Linked DNA regions of Mus musculus: regions 2, 3 and 4 are each reported to be linked to region 1. Evidence: microRNA targets listed by miRTarBase, many of them from high-throughput screens and not tested one by one. Region 1 holds a microRNA gene; each other region holds the end of a gene's coding sequence.

Evidence for each region. The annotated mature microRNA mmu-miR-1955-3p reads GAGCAUUGCAUGCUGGGACAU and lies in region 1 at 2,872-2,892, opposite strand. An mRNA with a match to its seed (bases 2 to 7 or 8) in the 3' UTR can be bound and repressed. Matches are read on the target gene's strand: a 7mer-m8 pairs with bases 2 to 8, a 7mer-A1 pairs with bases 2 to 7 and ends in A, and an 8mer does both.
Region 2: the mRNA of Jazf1 is a reported target of mmu-miR-1955-3p. Seed matches in the 3' UTR shown: 7mer-A1 at 2,834-2,840.
Region 3: the mRNA of Kcnj10 is a reported target of mmu-miR-1955-3p. Seed matches in the 3' UTR shown: 7mer-m8 at 1,880-1,886 and 7mer-m8 at 2,500-2,506.
Region 4: miRTarBase lists Apcdd1 as a target of mmu-miR-1955-3p. Seed matches in the 3' UTR shown: 7mer-A1 at 1,552-1,558.

The regions. Positions count from the first base shown.
Region 1 is chr2:92,190,248-92,194,926 of GRCm38, reverse strand. It overlaps Mir1955 (microRNA 1955), which reads right to left and starts at 2,950; the gene lies at 2,853-2,950. All of the region lies in intron 1 of Phf21a (PHD finger protein 21A), which reads right to left.
Region 2 is chr6:52,766,665-52,771,003 of GRCm38, forward strand. It overlaps Jazf1 (JAZF zinc finger 1), which reads right to left. Exons shown (of 5, transcript NM_173406.3): 5 at 1,404-3,716. The coding sequence ends at 3,540. Tax1bp1 (Tax1 (human T cell leukemia virus type I) binding protein 1) reads left to right here. Exons shown (of 18, transcript NM_025816.3): 18 at 1-116. Among named protein-coding and RNA genes, the nearest start is that of Gm52904, 30 kb to the right of the region's middle.
Region 3 is chr1:172,369,008-172,373,346 of GRCm38, forward strand. Kcnj10 (potassium inwardly-rectifying channel, subfamily J, member 10) reads left to right here. Exons shown (of 2, transcript NM_001039484.1): 2 at 1-4,339. The coding sequence ends at 1,053. Among named protein-coding and RNA genes, the nearest start is that of Pigm, 5.4 kb to the right of the region's middle.
Region 4 is chr18:62,951,265-62,955,603 of GRCm38, forward strand. Apcdd1 (adenomatosis polyposis coli down-regulated 1) reads left to right here. Exons shown (of 5, transcript NM_133237.4): 5 at 566-2,551. The coding sequence ends at 1,014. Among named protein-coding and RNA genes, the nearest start is that of Napg, 24 kb to the right of the region's middle.

The DNA.
Region 1 (4,679 bases):
AAAGCCTTAAACTCAGGCTGAAGAGATGGCTCAGCAGTTAAGAGCACTGACTGCTCTTCTAGAAGTCCTGAGTTCAATTCCCATCAACCATATGGTGGCTCACAACCATCTGTAATGGGGTCTGATGCCCTCTTCTGGTGTGTCTGAAGAGAGCAATGGTATACTCATATACATAAAATTTTTTAAAATTTAAAAAAGATTTATTAAAAATAAAAAATTTTAAAAAGTCTTAAGACTTGTCTATGGTGAGTAGAGTAGATCGCTAATTTCTGGTTCACATCCACTCTAACTCAGACACTTAAAACTTTATAATAATATTATTAACATGACAAATACTTCTAAATTCAAATCCAATTCATGTATACTAATTTAGTCTGTAAAGTATATTTATGAATATTATCTCATCTACCCCTTTTAACAGCAAGCTCTTACTTATTTTCCACTGGAAAAACTAAACTCAAAACAAGACTAAATTTCCCAAGATATGACATATGACACACTGTTTAACAATATTCTAGAGTGAAGACAAGTAACCACCCAGTTTTGTTCTCCTGATTTTTCAGTGGTGTTTCAGGAATTATATAAATAGACGTGTCAATAAAATTTATTGAAGGAGAATTCATACAAGCACAATTATTTTCTATAGTAGCCTACAAAAAACAAAGGACATTTTCCTACTCATTGCTGATCATTTGTATTCAATTCTTTATAACTGCTGAATTTATCCATTTTAATATTAACTTAAAGACCAAATTAATAGAAAAGAAATAAAACAATTTACAATGTAGAAGCATATCCAACCAGAGTCCACATATTTTTGATACTTCAAAAAGGTGTCAGCCTCCCATGGAAGGGCAAAGTAGAGTCAAATGGTACTTTACTGCTAAGAAATAGTTTCAGTAAATAGTTTAGCAGTAATCTATGACAATGTTCCAAGAAGTCCATGCTAACGAGTGGATATCAGTTAAGCAGGTAAAAAGACAATTATCTGACTTTTTCATATTCCAACTAAGGCATGGAACATATACTGGAATTTACGTTTATATTTTTCAATATTCCTAGGTACCCTTTTCCCACCTCAAACATCCTTCTTACCTCACACAGCTAAAGTAAAAATATCCCAAAAATTCTAGAGCCTAATAAAAGTAGTACCTTAAAACAAAAGAAAAAATGTAAATACTTAAAATGTAAATTCTTTTGAACCTCCATTCTAAATACACCCTAGATGTGAATGACATTGGGGGGGAGGGTGGCCCTCTCCATCAGTCCTGCAACGCTGATGTGATCAGAGTGGGGGTAGCCCTCTCTATCAGTCCCACAAGCTGATGTGGTCAGAGGGTTTTCCCAAGGTTGCACTCACCATGATACCAAGAGCATTTTTCCAGAGTCTTACTTTTACTAATCAGCTATTTGGAAATTCTAACAGTGCAAACATTACTAACACCATCTTTTAAACTTTCTGAAGTCAATGAAACACTGCAATACAGTACAACAATACTGAACAGGTACAACCAAATCCTGCCAACATCCTGCTACTAGCGTATTTGTCCAATTTGGGGCATATATCATTTAGATAGAAACTGAGGCACACAGACACTTTAATGAACAGCAAATCAGTCTAAGCCACATCATTACCAGAAACCAAAATCTCAAAACAAAGTCTTCCAAAGTCACCTGGGCTTCGAACTAAACTAAACATAAAAAGAAGTTAAAGGTGGAGGAACTGTTTGAAATAAAAATGGTTGTTGGTAATCCTAAGTATTTACTGAGCCTTAACTACACGTCAACCACTAAGCTAAGTGAGCACTCTCAGGACTTCTACACCCAATCCTACAACAACCCTACAGGAGTTCATAAAGAACAGTCAAAACAAAGTTTTGAAATTTTACAAGCGAAAATCTAAGCTATTTGAGAATCTGCCCTTCCTTCTCTCTCTTCAGGCTGCATCTCTTAGCATCAATCTACATGGAGCAGGGGGAGAAATAAAGCAAGCCTACAAAACCGGCACTTTTAGAGCAGGGGCAGCAGGACCACAAGATACAGAAACCGGCTGAGCTAGAGTAAGAGCCTCTAAAAAACACAAAAGAGGGGTGGGAGCTGAGAGAACTGAAGCAGTAAGTCTGTGAGTTCAAGTCCAGCATAAACTATACAGGATTTTGTCTCAAAAATAAATGACATGAAATAATTCAATTATATTGAATCATTTATTTTCTCCCAGTTAGACAATACTGACCAATTAATCATTCTAGAAGCATCACAAAACTCTGAATTTAAAGACGGGAATAAAAAGCCCGCAGGCCAAGCCAGGTGGTGGTGGTGCACGCCTTTAATCCCAGCACTTGGGGAGCAAAGGCAGGTGTATCAACGCCAGTCTGGTCTACAGAGCAAGATCCAGGATTGCCAAAACTACACAGAAAAGACCTGTCTTAAAACAAAATAAAATAATAATAATAATAATAATAATAATAATAATAATAATAATTCCAGCTGAATAACTCTCCCCACTGGGGGCAAAAGGAATAGCATGTGTCAGGCTTGACAAAAAGGCATCTACTGCCCTCACTAGAAAACAATGATACCAGACTTCTGCAATAACCTATTCGACCACATGCACAGAAACTACTTACAGTTTCCAAGTCAAGTTTTGAATATGTTATTTTGCATTTAGATCTTATAAAAGCTAGTAAAAGCACTGTGATAAAACAGAACACCAAGCTGTTTATAAAGTCTCACTTTATAATTTCAGAAACAGAGTAAGTATGATTTCATTAATGTAACTTTAAAAAAATGAAGTTCTTAGAGTTTTAGGGATCTATTTATAAAATGGAGTAGACAAGAAAAAGAGTTCTCCGTGCTATTTAAACCAACTACATGTCCCAGCATGCAATGCTCTTATCTGAAGTTAAGAAAAAGCTGCAGTGCATCCTGGGACTTGTAGTAAGTAAACCAGCTTTTCACAGCAAGTTTCAGAAAGTCTGAACTGTGGAGCGCATCTGATTAGGTCTTATTTTCAGAGTCTAATCAAATTCAAATCAAATTTGTTTGCTCTCTGCTCTGGTATTGTTTCTCTAGTACATATTAGAAAAAGTAGCAATTCGCATTAATAACTTCCACTAGAAAAACCTCAAGTAAGAACAAAATGCTTTAAAAATAACTGACATGACAGAAACATAATTTTATACTTTTAAAAATAAGTTTTGTTGGATCAGTTGCAACATTTTTACCATCTCCCCACTAAGATGCTTTTACTATACTGTGTCCCCTTTAACAATTATTCTAAATATATTTTAAAATAATTTTACTTAAAAAATTCTATAACCAAGCATTTGCTATACTCTAGGATTGTTCACTAGGAAATATATCCTTACAGTAATATGCACGCGCACACACTCACAACAAAACACCTAAGCGCTTCTCTTGTCAAATCCTCCCTTTCCAGTTATGCCCATCACTCACCACTCCTAATATCTATATACACACACTACAGAACTCCGAGAAAAAAAGATTCCAATTTCCAAAATTACAAAAGTTTTTGTAAGCTACTAAGAGCACTTCCAATCTGAACTGTAGTTTACATACATATAGTTCCTTCTGACAGCCCTCTTTTCTCTAAGACTCTGGAAGGAGGCTGCAGTCTGCATCAGGAGGCCTACCGCAGGTGGTGGGTTATTTTCAGGCAACAGCACCTTCACAAACATGCTGTAGAATACAGGCCAAGAAACTCCTAACGAGGAGAGATAAGCTGGCACGGAGATTAACACAATCCAGCTAGAAGTCACCTGCAGCACGTGCTAGCACATTTCACCACAGAAGCGACAGGCTCCTCAAGTATCCAAAGCTTCATCAATACAACAGGATGTCCATAAGGCCAAAGATAGCAGTTGCCATGGTTACTATCACCCACTTTTATCATGAAATTATTGTCATTACCCTGAAGTTTAGGGTACTTACTTAAATGTTAAAAAGAAGAGTTCGGTGTTCTGTGGAGGGAGAAAAATCAAGTGCTGTCTGATCTGTAAGCATGCCACTCTAGAAATGCACATGGTTAACAACACTTGGATCTGCAGCGGGAAAAAAAAAATCAATTCCTTTCTGCTGCTCCTGTTCCTCAAGCACTGACAGTTTGTATTTTCAATGCAGCCAAAACAATAAAACAAAACCCATCTTTTTTGGCCTCTGTGACTGAGTTATGTTTTTCCCTTAGGCCCAAAAAGTCAAAATAAAACTACTAGGCCACACCCCTTCCAATCTCCATATAACTGGTTTAATCTTTTCCTCATTAAAAAGCAGAAAAGACTGCCTTAGTACATCCCAAAATATGGGAAAAAATAATTTCCTGAGACTGTATATGAACTATTATTATTAATTGAGTAAAAGAAAGGGGAATAGAGAGAGGAGAGGGACTTGAGAGCTGGGAGAGTCCAGGATGGATTCTAACTGCCACAGAGTCTACCTACGAATGGACATTACTCAGCAAAGAATCTGGGGTGAGTGAACCTCACAGTCTACATGGGAAGATTTGCCACCATTCTATAGTCAGGTGGCCCATGACACACAAAGTTGCTCTTCAAAGTCTATCCCGAGGTGAGCATGGTAATTCATGCCTGCAAACCCAGCACTTAGGAATCCGAAGCAGGAAGATTACCACAAATTGACCTCGCCTCAAAAAGTAAAAAAAA
Region 2 (4,339 bases), not on the chromosome of region 1:
TTAGCATAATCTAGATGACTATTTTTAAATGATTGAGTTTGTATTTATAACTAGCTATAATTGTATTTAACTATAATGGACCAAAATAAATCAAGGCATTATCTGTTCTCATTAAATGACCTTTGTAAATGATTCGGGGCATAAAATGGCAGACTGTGTACCATGGTCTTTCTCACATTTTCCTGATGAGCATACACGTTGGACATAACGTTCCTCAGGAAGTGCTCAGAAATACAATGCACAACCCAGACCCAACAACTGTGCTTCTCAGTCACAGCTAACATTATAGAAGACAGTGTGGGGGGCTGTCATGTCACTGTAGCATTCACACACGTGCACGCGAGCGCGCGCGCGCACACGCACACACACACATACACACACACACACACACACTCCCTTTTATGATGGGAATGTTAAAGTACTTTTTGCTGCTTTAGTAGTCACTAAAATAGAGGCCCATTCTGAGCAAACTAGGTATTGGAGATGTTAAATAAATATTCAGAGTTGGTAGCATTCTAGATTGCTGTCTGTAAACTGCTGTATACCATGCTGCTGGTATTTATAGAAGAGTTTGTGTATTAATTGAATCATTTGAAAAGGTATATGTATATGTTTTAAAATATTTTTATTTTTGCATTTATTTTATTTGAAAGGGTATTTAAATCTAGGCTGTAGATTCAGATTGCCGTAGATTCTAGAGTGAACCAGCAGGAGACATTCGGACTGCCAGGCGTCAGGCAGTCCTTAGAGGCAGGGCCAGCGGTGGATACACCTTCAGCATCCTGGCGAGTCCTCCATAGAATATCCTTGGGCAACGTGTGCCCCACATGAGACCTTGGAGGCCATGGTGATGCTTAGTTTGGAAAGTGCTGGCTGTGCTGAGTTCTGATCCCAGCACTGGTGTGAGAAAGCAGACGTGTTGCTGGGGGGCAGCAACAGGATGTCCTCGCATGTGCTGGTCAGCCAGTCTACACAGCTCATCTTCAGGTTCAGTAAGAGACCCTGTCCCAAGGTGGAGACATGACTCAGGATGACACCTGATGTTGACATCTGGCCTCCACACGTGTGCACATACTGTGGACATTTCTCCTGCAGTTAGGAAGTATGACCCATGCTAACCTGAAAGTAGTCTTTGAATATTACTGTCAGTGAAACGAGGCTGCTCATCTTGTTGGCTGTTTAACTGGATAGTTTATGTAGAGTTTTAGTCCCAAGCTTATCATAAAGTGTTACTTACAGAAAAGTAAGCAAAACATAAGGGAACAAAACCTTTACATATCACCTAGATTCTGCAAAATAACTAGGAGCGTAATAGAACAGGCCCTGGACAGATGTTTTAGTTCCCACAGTAAACTTGATGTCGGTTCTTATAGCGGAGCTAATTAAAATAAAGAGCCATATTTATTTTGGGTCAGAGGCAGTTTATTTTAAATGTGATTTCATGTACATTTATTAAGCAGCTTTTCTTGACAGAAAGTTTGAGTAAATTGCCTTCAATTCTGATAGTTCTGTTGCTTTCAAACTTAATGTGCTCTGTCCCCAACAAAACATATGAAAATATAATTTAAAGCACGGTTTTCACAGACACGGTACAATACATTCACTATACACGGTGTAACAAAATATCCCTTCCTCACCTGTTTAGTAATACTGTCACAATGAAGAAGTAGAAACTGGGTTTTATCACTGAAAGGTTTTTAACATGCACAATGACTGTTTTTATGCCTGTGTAGCTGCTGAACTACTGATCCAGCCCGCAGTTTCTCACACTAGAAAGAGCAAAGCTAACTATTAATTGCTGGCCTAACTTTTTTGGTCAACTGTAGGTAGATGTGGAGCAAGTAGGGCCTTCTTTTGCACCAACTTCTATTCTGAATTCTGGATCATCCATTTAACACCATGAGAGCTAACACTGTAGAGTCAAGACCGAGACCACTTTTCAGAGCTGAGGACATTTTTAGTGGGCAGCATCTTTATAAATATTGTTAAATCCCTCATCATGAGGGATTGATGCAGAAGCTTACCCATCTGTTTAACAGAATTGTCTTCACAGTGTGAATGCTGAGGAGGGACGACTAGCTAGCTGTGTGTAAGACTGCGTCAGATGGGAACACGGGGGAAAAGGTTATTTTAGAGGGAATCTGAGTCTGCCTTTCACCAGTTTGTACTGTGTGCAGTTAGCTGTGTCAAAGCAACGTTTATTGCGTATTAGGCAACCGGTAAACTCTTGTTTAAAGAATAGCACTTGGGAGAAAAGAACACTCAACACATGATGGTACTGTCGGTGAGAGAAGCTCCAGGACGATCCAGATGTAGGCCACTCTTAGTGGGTCTATTAGTCACTCTTCCTTGACCACCTGCTGCAAGAAGCACTTAATGTCAGTAAGGCTTATTTTCATATTCTGGCAAAATGTTTTCTAAAGCTAAACAGACATTTCTAATGAGAATGCAGACATCTACAGTGTGATAGGAAAGTGCCTTTAAAAGTCGCAACTGAACAGGAAAGGGGCAGTAGGGGTCTTAGCAACCTTCCTCGCTCAAACACACTTCTGAATTTTAGTTCGGATTGCAACCCACAGATCTCTTAGGGCAATAGTTGCAAGAATTGGCAACGTCTAAACAAAATTGTTGGCAATAGAGAACTACAAAGTGCTTTAAAACCTCATCTATTGATGAAGCTATAACTAAGTTTCACACACACACAATTTGCACTTAAGTATTTCAAAGTGTTTCCTAACATTTCAGGGAAAAGTATTTCACTGGTATCTTGGTCCACAAGTAACTTAGGTATAACTTCAGTCTCTTGCACCCAGCAGGCACTCAATGAGAATGTTAGCATTAATGAGTGAACTGAGTCCTTTGCACAAAGATGCCATTTAGAACACTAAAATGATTGGTAAGTTCGATGGCAAGAATTTCAGCTTCTTAAAGGGCAAGATAATAACTAAAAAAAAAAAAGAAAGAAAAGAAAGCACACCTTTTATGCATGTTATTTAAATATGAAAATATTTTTAGCATATTATGTTAAACATTCTTATTTATATTTCCATTACCTAAAGTCTTTCTACTCACAAATACTAACTCCATTATGTAAGGCATGATAACCAGTTTGATAATGAAGGTATTATTTTGGTTTTATGTGAGTCGATGTGTTGAAAAGCTTCAATCACATTACAATCTTAAAACATCTCAGTGCCAGCCCCTCCTCTCCCAGTTGACATCACTGCAATGTGGTTAAACAATATGCAACATGCCCTTCATTTATTTTGTTTTGGGGAAAATGTGCTGAAGAACCTAGAGCTTGTTTTGTTTAGCACCTTATATCAACGTAATGGAAATGGGCGTGATGATTACATGTGCAAATGTACAAAATCATTAACTACAAAGATACATCATTCCAAAAGTACAGAAAAGGTTAAAGCATGCATTTAATTATTTTTCATTAAAGGGTTGCTGAGTGCTTCCCCTGAAAAAAGGTGGCTGTTTTCAAAATCAGCAACTGCTGGTGAGGATTTCTTGGCACAGTTCTGACCAGCACGCTACTGCTGCATCTTCCTGATCATCTCGGCAGACACTGGGGGATGGAAATTGATTGTGTGGTGCCGCAGGCCCTGAGCTGTCTTGTAACTCTTCCCACACCGGCATTTGAATGGTTTGCGGACGCGAATCTGTGTTCGGTGACCATTCTTAGCATGGTACTTTATGCCATTCACATTCTGTGGAGAAGATAAAAAAAAATTACCTATTAGGGTCACCAAATGTCCTGTCACACTCGTGCAAACCTCAGCATGGGTCAGATTCCAGCAAAGCAGCTCCTGGATGGATCCAGAGGGTGGGCTTCATGTGGGTTTGCTGGTCCTGGGCTGTGTGTGCCAGGGCTTTGTAAGAAAATTAATGGAACACTTCCCTTGGTTTCTTGAAGCCTTGCTTCTCAGCTACTAAAGTTTTCTGCTTGGAAGAGAATTAATTGGAAATTCTGTGAATATTTCAGAATGACCAATGAACACAATGTTCTAAAGAATACAAAAAGTAGGGTAAGGCAGACTGAATGTAAGACATAAGCTGTGGTAAGTACCCTCTAAACCTCACCTGGAGGCTTTGGCAGAGTTAGCTGGCCGTGCTTCAGCATAGGTGAGTGCTCAGAGCCCATGGGCACTGCTTTTGATGATGTACTGCGTTCAGACAGCATGCTTTTAAACCTTTATTTATATAAAGTCAGTCCCATGAAAAACAACATGCTGAGTAGATTTCTTAGCAGCAGATGATAAGAATCTGGGTGTTTAGATTAGCAGAATGTCCCAGAACCCACATAGGGCTGTGTGCAATTGCCCTGGGAATC
Region 3 (4,339 bases), not on the chromosome of region 1:
GTCCTCACGAAAGACGGCCGGAGCAATGTGAGAATGGAGCACATTGCTGACAAACGTTTCCTCTACCTCAAGGATCTATGGACGACCTTCATTGACATGCAATGGCGCTACAAGCTTCTGCTCTTCTCTGCAACCTTTGCAGGCACGTGGTTCCTCTTTGGTGTGGTGTGGTATCTGGTAGCTGTGGCCCATGGGGACCTGTTGGAGCTGGGACCTCCTGCCAACCACACGCCTTGTGTGGTGCAGGTGCACACGCTCACCGGAGCCTTCCTCTTCTCCCTGGAATCCCAGACCACCATCGGCTATGGCTTCCGCTACATCAGTGAGGAATGCCCACTGGCCATCGTGCTTCTTATTGCGCAGCTGGTGCTCACCACCATTCTGGAAATCTTCATCACAGGTACCTTCCTTGCAAAGATTGCCCGGCCTAAGAAGAGGGCCGAGACGATCCGCTTCAGCCAGCATGCCGTTGTGGCTTCCCATAACGGGAAGCCTTGCCTTATGATCCGGGTTGCCAATATGCGGAAGAGTCTCCTCATTGGATGCCAGGTGACAGGCAAACTGCTTCAAACGCACCAGACAAAGGAGGGTGAGAATATTCGGCTCAACCAGGTCAACGTGACTTTCCAAGTAGACACAGCCTCAGACAGCCCCTTTCTCATCCTACCCCTGACTTTCTACCACGTGGTAGATGAGACCAGCCCCTTAAAAGATCTCCCGCTCCGCAGTGGGGAGGGGGACTTTGAGCTGGTGCTGATCCTGAGTGGGACAGTGGAGTCCACCAGTGCCACCTGCCAAGTTCGCACTTCCTACCTACCGGAGGAGATCCTCTGGGGTTACGAGTTCACGCCTGCGATCTCACTGTCAGCCAGTGGCAAATACATAGCTGACTTCAGCCTTTTCGACCAGGTTGTGAAAGTGGCATCTCCCAGTGGTCTCCGCGATAGCACCGTACGCTATGGAGACCCCGAGAAGCTCAAGTTGGAGGAGTCATTAAGAGAGCAAGCTGAAAAGGAAGGCAGTGCCCTTAGTGTGCGCATCAGCAACGTCTGATATCCTGTTCTCTCCTCCCCAGCCCTCTGGCCTTTTCCTCTTCCAGTGCTCTGGGAAAAGGATACAATCTGGGTTCGCTGGAGAGACCCTGAAGCACCCACCCTCAACTTCCCCTTAGCCCGGTGGCCTGTGAGCAGTCGGGGCCTGCTGGAGCCCTTCCTTTTCCTCTCACTGTCCCCTTGTACCTTCCTCTACCACTACACCAATGTATATGACTCTTAAGCCAGCTTGGGGGAAAGAGAGGGAAGATGAGGCTGACATGGCTTGGAAGGCCGCAGCCATGCTTGGAGATTCACATTCAGAGGACCATGTGACTGGATGGATAGACTCCCCCCCAAACGCCCACCACTAGAAAATTTGATGGCTTGAGACTGGAGCTTCCTCCTTTTCTCTTCCATCTAGCTAAGTTCCCTGAGGCAGAACTCTCTCAGAGAGTCACTCTATGGGCTCTGCCCTCAGAAGTACTGGGATCTGAAATCAGTTTTCCCTGGGCTATCAAATCCTGAAGAAAGAAGCCAGAGTTTGTCATGGTGTTTTAATTTCAGCTGGTAACTCCTGACAGAGCCTGGACTCTTGGTCACCACCTAATTTTCCCTCTCCAGTTCTCAAGTGGATCTTCTCAGCAAAGCCGGTTCTCTCTCAGCTTCTGTTTCTGTAGAACTGGGGTTGACTCGAGAAACACAAGCAGCCACCTTTCCTGCACCCATCCTGGATTCTGAGAAATTCAATTTTGGAAATACTGTCTAATACTCTGGCCCTGTCCTTTGGGCAGCTCTGTCCTGAAAAGATATGTTTTAGTGTTTCCTGGGAATAGGAAGACCTTAACCAATGCTCTCTCTCTCTCTCTCTCTCTCTCTCTCTCTCTCTCTCTCTCTCTCCCTCCCTCCCTCCCTCCCTCCCTCCCTCCCTCCCTCCCTCCCTCTCTCTCTCTCTCTCTCTCTCTCTCTCTCTCTCTCTTTCATGGGCTGTCCTTGAATTTACTATGTAGACTAGGCTGGCCTTGAACTCACAGATACCTAGCTGCCTCCGTCTCCCATATACTGGGATTAAAGGCATGAACCACTATGCCAAGCCCCCAATGTTCTCTTGAATAAGTCCATTGCACATACCTCACGAAAATATCTAAAACCATCCAGATTACACTGTACCAGTTCCATTGCTTCCTTTTCTCCCACCCCAGACCTTCCCTTAACTCAACCTTTTGAAGTAAGAGAGGGAAACATGGTCATTTGCCTTTCTTAACATCGATCTATTAAAACTAGTCACAGGGCACAGATTCCCCAGGAAAGCTGAACCCACTTCTCAGATTTCCAGATTGCTGTACAGAGCCTCGGGGAATTTGTGATGTTTTGTTATGGTTTGGGCTGAGGCAGAACTCTGGCTGACAGCCACTATTTTGTTCCATCTCCTGGTGCCCTTCTGAGAAGTGCCAGCTATTTTATGAGGCAATGCTGAGAGGAGAGGAACTTACATTCTGATCTCTGCCATTCTGACACCTGGCATAAAATGATGAAAACCAGCGCCATCTCTCCTCTTTTCTGCCTACGGGCCAGTTCCAGGCAAATTACAAAGACAGCTTAAGATCACACCCAAGCCATTCCTAGTTCTCTGGTGAGGGTTGTGGCAGGGGTCATGGAAGGGCATTTGAAGCACCAGGTCCTGTCCTAGTGAGCTTTGGCTCCACTTGGGTACCCAGGAAACCTCGCAAGGTAGTTTGGCAGGAATGACGTAAGCTGTAAGGTGGACTTGACAGATGACAAGCGACACATCTATACAGAATGCATGCCCGGATCTCTGGGCAAAGCCTTGCAGAGAAACTCAGAAGATCCCAAGACTGAGTGGATCTCAACTGTGCACAGTCTTTTTACGTTGGTCTTCCCTTGAACTCAATTAACTGTAGCCTGAAAACGAAGAGCCTTTGGTCTCTCCTTACTGTAAAGCTCACCGTTAGCCTCCAACTCTCATCAACAACCAGAACCAGAAGAACCTGAATGTCTGAAACAAAGAGCAGAAGGCAAGAGCCAGCTTATGTGCTTTCAAATACATTCAACGCTGCGCTTACCTGATGTGTCCAGTGTGCAAGGACCATGTGTACTGCTGTGTGTGTGTGTGTGTGTGTGTGTGTGTGTGTGTGTGTGTGTGTGTCTTCTTATCCTGTGGCAATTTATCCTCTGTCCTGTTTCTTCTTCACATTGCTGCTTCCCTTCTGAGGGAATGACCCTCGTCCCAGAGCCTTGCCAAGGCCCAACTCTCCTCAGAATCTTGGATAACAATGTGAGAGAGCATTTCCTGCCTTAACCCCTTTTGAACTTCCTCTACAATCCCAGGCTTTGCTCTAAGTTGCACTTTAAAATCATTTAAAAATCATTAACATCTGTCCTGTTAATTCAGAATTCAGAACGGCACCTTTCTCCAACAAGCCTTATGTTCTGCAGAACAACTCCCACTCACAACCCTAAGTGGTTCTTTAGATCCCAGCCCGACTCTCTGACCTGAAATCCTTTCTCAGGATGCAGGGCAAGCTTTACTAACAGCCACGGCTGATGAAAAATGGGTTCCCTGTCTGTACCAGCTAGAGACTTGGAATGTCAGGAGAATAACAGGTGCGCCAATTCTAAGTGGGATGGGAGATTTCAGGTGAGCAAAACGACCAATGGGGAAGGATCTCCAGAGTGGGGAAAAAGTGAACGACGAGGCTAAGGGGCCTAGGGAGATGAAACTCAGAGTCTTACTTACTTATGACTGACACACAGGAGGTGGGGGGAAACTTGGGAGATTGAGATATGATATATGTTTATCTAAGGAGAAAAACAGAGATAATATATACAGAGAAATGTACATAGATGTACATATACCCAAATATACGGACTGTACAGAAGGAAGTATTCAGACTTTAACAAAGGGACAAATATTTTGCCTTGGTTTGGGGGAGCAGGATAGCTGGATCTTCTGTGTTATGGTCTGAACAACAGTGACAGTAGCTGATGGTTTTAAGTTTGCTTGATGGAAAAGGGAGGGCTAGACCCTGCCCTTTTCATAAATAAAGGAGCATCCGTCGAGGTTTGATGAATTGTGCTGGCAGGACAAGAGGAAAACTAGGAGGAAATGGGACACAGGGATGCTCCACTCATGGAGAAGTAGGAAAATCTACCACTCACACAATCCCTGGCCAACAACCTGCCGCTGAACAAGTTCTAAAACAAGCAAGCAAGGGAGCAAGTAAGCGATCGAGCAAGCGAGCAAACAAAAGCATCCTTCCATTTTCCTCTCTTCTTCCACCAAGATG
Region 4 (4,339 bases), not on the chromosome of region 1:
CCAAAGATCACTTTTGACTTTTGAGAAATGCTAGGACAGTTGTATTTCACAAGGACATGTGTGATCATCTCCAAACTGGACTTGGAATATAAACCAAATGTCACTGTTTTTTTGGTCATATGTACAGTATACTGTCATGACTTTACATTCATGGGAATTACTTTCAGGGCTCCCTGAAGATACCAAAACGCAAAGTTGCTTTAGTTCCTTCTGTGAAATGAATATGCTTGCACAAAACCTGTGCATATCCTCTTATACTTTACACCATTTCTACATTACTTCTGATACTTAATGAAGTCATTGCAGGGCCGTGTAGTTAAGTTGTAGCTGCGGAGTGCGTGACACTGTGAGCTGGCTGGCTGTGTTTGGTATGATCACCATTCAAGTCAGCATATGGAACTTCCTACCAGAGCCTACTTTTTTGATTACTGTGGTCAGCCAGGCAAGCAATTGGATTGTGCTTTAAAGAGAAAGCTGTGTTGAAACAGTGCCTCTAGCATTTGCCAGAAGTGTCTGCCTCCTTAAGTTGTGTGCCTAGAGTCATAAATATCTCTCTTCTCCACAGTGAATCACATGAAGGTTACTCCCATGGACGCAGCCACAGCCTCCCTCCTCAATGTCTTCAGTGGGAATGAGTGTGGGGCTGAGGGCTCCTGGCAGGTGGGTATCCAACAGGATGTGACACATACCAATGGCTGCGTGGCTCTGGGCATCAAACTACCTCACACAGAATATGAGATCTTCAAAATGGAGCAAGACACCCGAGGCCGCTACCTGCTGTTCAATGGCCAGAGGCCCAGCGATGGCTCCAGCCCAGACAGACCAGAGAAGAGAGCCACATCCTACCAGATGCCCTTGGTCCAGTGTGCCTCTTCCTCACCAAGAGCTGAAGAGTTGTTGGAAGACAGTCAAGGTCATCTGTATGGCAGGGCAGCAGGGAGGACAGCTGGGTCCCTGTTGCTTCCTGCCTTTGTCAGCCTTTGGACTCTCCCACATTGGCGCATCCTCAGATAGAAGACATTTCCTGAACCAAGACTCTTTACCGTGTATGACTTTCCTTCACACAGAGAAAGGACATTGATTCTTTTGATGCACTTGAATGCCTTGAGACCTGCCGTTGCCTCTCCTCTCCCCACCTCTTCCAGCCTCTGCGCCATGAGCAGTGTGTTTGAAGTTTCAGCTTTGAATGTCTTCCCGCCCGATCCGTGGCCTGAGAACTTCATAGAGGTGTGATTGCACTTTATGTCTGCAGAGAGCTGGGGCGAGTGTGTTTAGGGGTGGCAGCTGCCTTCTTCTCTCTGTCCCCTGACTCCTGACTGTGTTTCTGAGCTGAGCTTAAAAGATACAAATGACAAGCTGCAGCTCTCTCTGCCATTGCTTCTCTTTATCTCTCCAAATCCCTTCCACACTCGAGGTTTTCGACACTGGAACCCAGTGCAGCGTTGGCTTGGGACCGCCATGAAGACCCCATGTTTGCGACAGGAGAGCCTGGGTTGGTGTTGAGTACATAAGAGACGAGGCAAGGTTCAGCTAAGTCTTTGTCCCAGCCTTAATGCTAACCAACACTTTCAGAAATGTTGAGTAGAGAGGTGTCCCTAAAGCTTCAATGGAACTTAAACTCTGTTGACAAGCGAGTGCCGGTTTTCACTTGTTGAGAAGAGATGTGTGCCATATACTTGGTTTGGTGGCTACAGAGTACAGCCTGCTGCTTAACCCTCAGAGGAGACTGATCCAGTTGGGAAATTCAGAGCAGCTCCTGCTCCAGGCAGCCAGAAGCAGCAGTGGGGGGTGGGGGTGGGGATTCCTTGTGTTAAGTGCCACACAACTGACAAGGAGATCTGTGGAGTTTTTCTCCAAGTGAACCAATCCCCTGTGTCCTGGCTCACACTGTGGTTAGGGTGGGCACATCCACTCTGCCATCTTTAACACACAGAAACCAAACATCAGTGCTCCAGTAGCTTACTAATGGAAAGAGGTTGGGGTGAGACTCACCCACAGATGAGCCACTCTGCTAGGAGCCAGCTGTCCCTGTGCTCCTTGGTGGGGTCTAGGAGGAGTCACCCTGTTACTAGAATTACCAGCTTGATTCGGCTTCCTCTCTGCATTTCCCTGGTTCTGCCCCACCTGCGAGGTCCAGAGCCATCTCATTCAGGGTTCGCCGCTTCACAGTCATCCGAAGGGAGGAGGGGATGGCCGCCACCCATTCCTTTGTATTATTGCAACTGGTGCTATAAACACCAAGTGCTATTGCTCACAGAGACCCATGAAGGTAGGTGGAGGAGAGACAAAAAACCTAGCTGGAACTGAAAGCAGACATGGAGACCAGGACCCAGGAGAAGAGTCAGTCGTGTATTTAAGAGTTCACTTTGTGAAGCAGTAGCTTTCAGTGCGGTGTTAAATTATAACGAAGGCATGGAGTACCAGAGTGCTTTATATTTAGATTATATTTTAAGTCATGGTGCATACTTGAGGGGGTTTATTAAAAATGAAAGTACTAACTTAATGTCTACTAAGTTTAATAAACAAAGAATTTGGAAGTAACCCCACGAAATACGTCTTCTTTGTCGACTCAATGAATTCTGACACTGTCTTCAAAGTGTGAGCCTATAGACACACTTCAGTGACCAAGAGTTGGGTTTATAGCCACTTTGGTTCACTGCAACCCACCTGGACTCATCTATCTCTACCCTTTAACAATATGCTGCATATATGCCCACAAAGGGATGATAGATATTAACATAGTGTAAGCAGGATGAGTCTGTGAAGTTTGTGTGATCACTTTCTGATGTAATATACATCTCTACAGAGAAATAATAACAGCTTATTCATAACTCACTGACACATTGAAGTATGTCACCATCACTCCCAAGTGCATTCATCTCGGCTTGGTTATATCATGCTAACAGCAATAGGGTCTCTAGAGTCAGGTCCCTTATGTGTGCCAAGGTGATCTTGATGTTATGTGTGACCTTGAAGCCACAGTGGAGCTCGAGGCCATCCAGACTTGAGGGTCAGACATGACAAGTCAATACTGAGATGCTTTCGTTGTTCTTTCGATTTCCCTTGTTTTAATTCATGTGTATGTGATGGAACAGGTAGATATAGTCACATCCTATACCTATACCTATACCTATACCTATACCTATACCTATACCTATACCTATACCTATACCTATACCTATACCTATACCTACCGAGTACAGCTGTCACACAGTGCAGAGAGATTCCTGAAGCTGGAATTACAGGTGGCTTAGAGCCACCCAGTATTGGTACAAAGAGCCAAACTCTGCTCCTCTGCAAGAGGAGTACACCAGTCTATCCTCCAACACCTGCCTACTTTTAAGACAGTGTCTTACTATGTATCCCACGTTGGCCTTGAATTTATGGTCCTTCTGCCTCCATGCAATAAGTGCTGGAATGACAGACCAGTTCTACTATGTCTGACTTGGAACAAGTCTGAAAAAGGTATGCCTGACCCTAGACTAGTCCATTTACATAGCAAGTTTGAAATCCACCATAGTTCAGTACTCAGCACCTGGCAAGTCCCCCTGTTAGTCGGTGGTGGGTAATTCTGCTAGTCAACTCTACATCTGAGGGAAGTCATACATCATGGAAGATTCTTGCAGAACTCACAGGTCAGCTGCAACTGGGCTTTAGGCCACTGATGTAGCAGAACATGAGGCTGGATGGTTGGCAAAGGATGCAGGTTTATTTTGCTTTGTGGTTCTGGAGACTGCGATGCCTGCACTCCAGCAGCTGCATCTGACGAGGGTCTTCTGCTGCTTGGTCGTGGCAGCAAGCCCCAAGTGAACGTGAGGCGAGCATGAAGGGTGGACTTGCGTTATCAGGTCTGTTCTGGCAACAAATCCAGTCCCACGAGATTGAAGCCCTGCTGAAAACAGCATCATTCCGTTCATGGTGGCTCCATCATTGACCTCCGGCCCCTGCTATTGGCTCCACATTCCAGCCCTGCCACAGTGTGGGAATGGGACTCCCAATCATGAATGTCAAAGCATAGCGCCAGCCTTCTTTTCTTCCTGAGGCGCTTGCTGGTAAGCGTCAGAAAAGTCCCTGGAGTTGACAGTAAAGAGTTCAAACTGCCCCCGCCCATCAATCTCCAAAGAAAACTCATGGAGTCTCCTCTCCAGTCACCACAGAACAAAGGGTCCATTTTCTCAGACATGGGGCAATTCAGCAGTGCCCAACATAAAGAGCCACAACCAGGGTTGCTGGCATTCCTGAATGCCATGGTGGCCTGCAGAAACAGCCTGTGGGTCTTGTGGATTCTGCTTGGAGAAGAAACTTCAGGAAAAGAACCAATTGGTATTCTACCATCTCT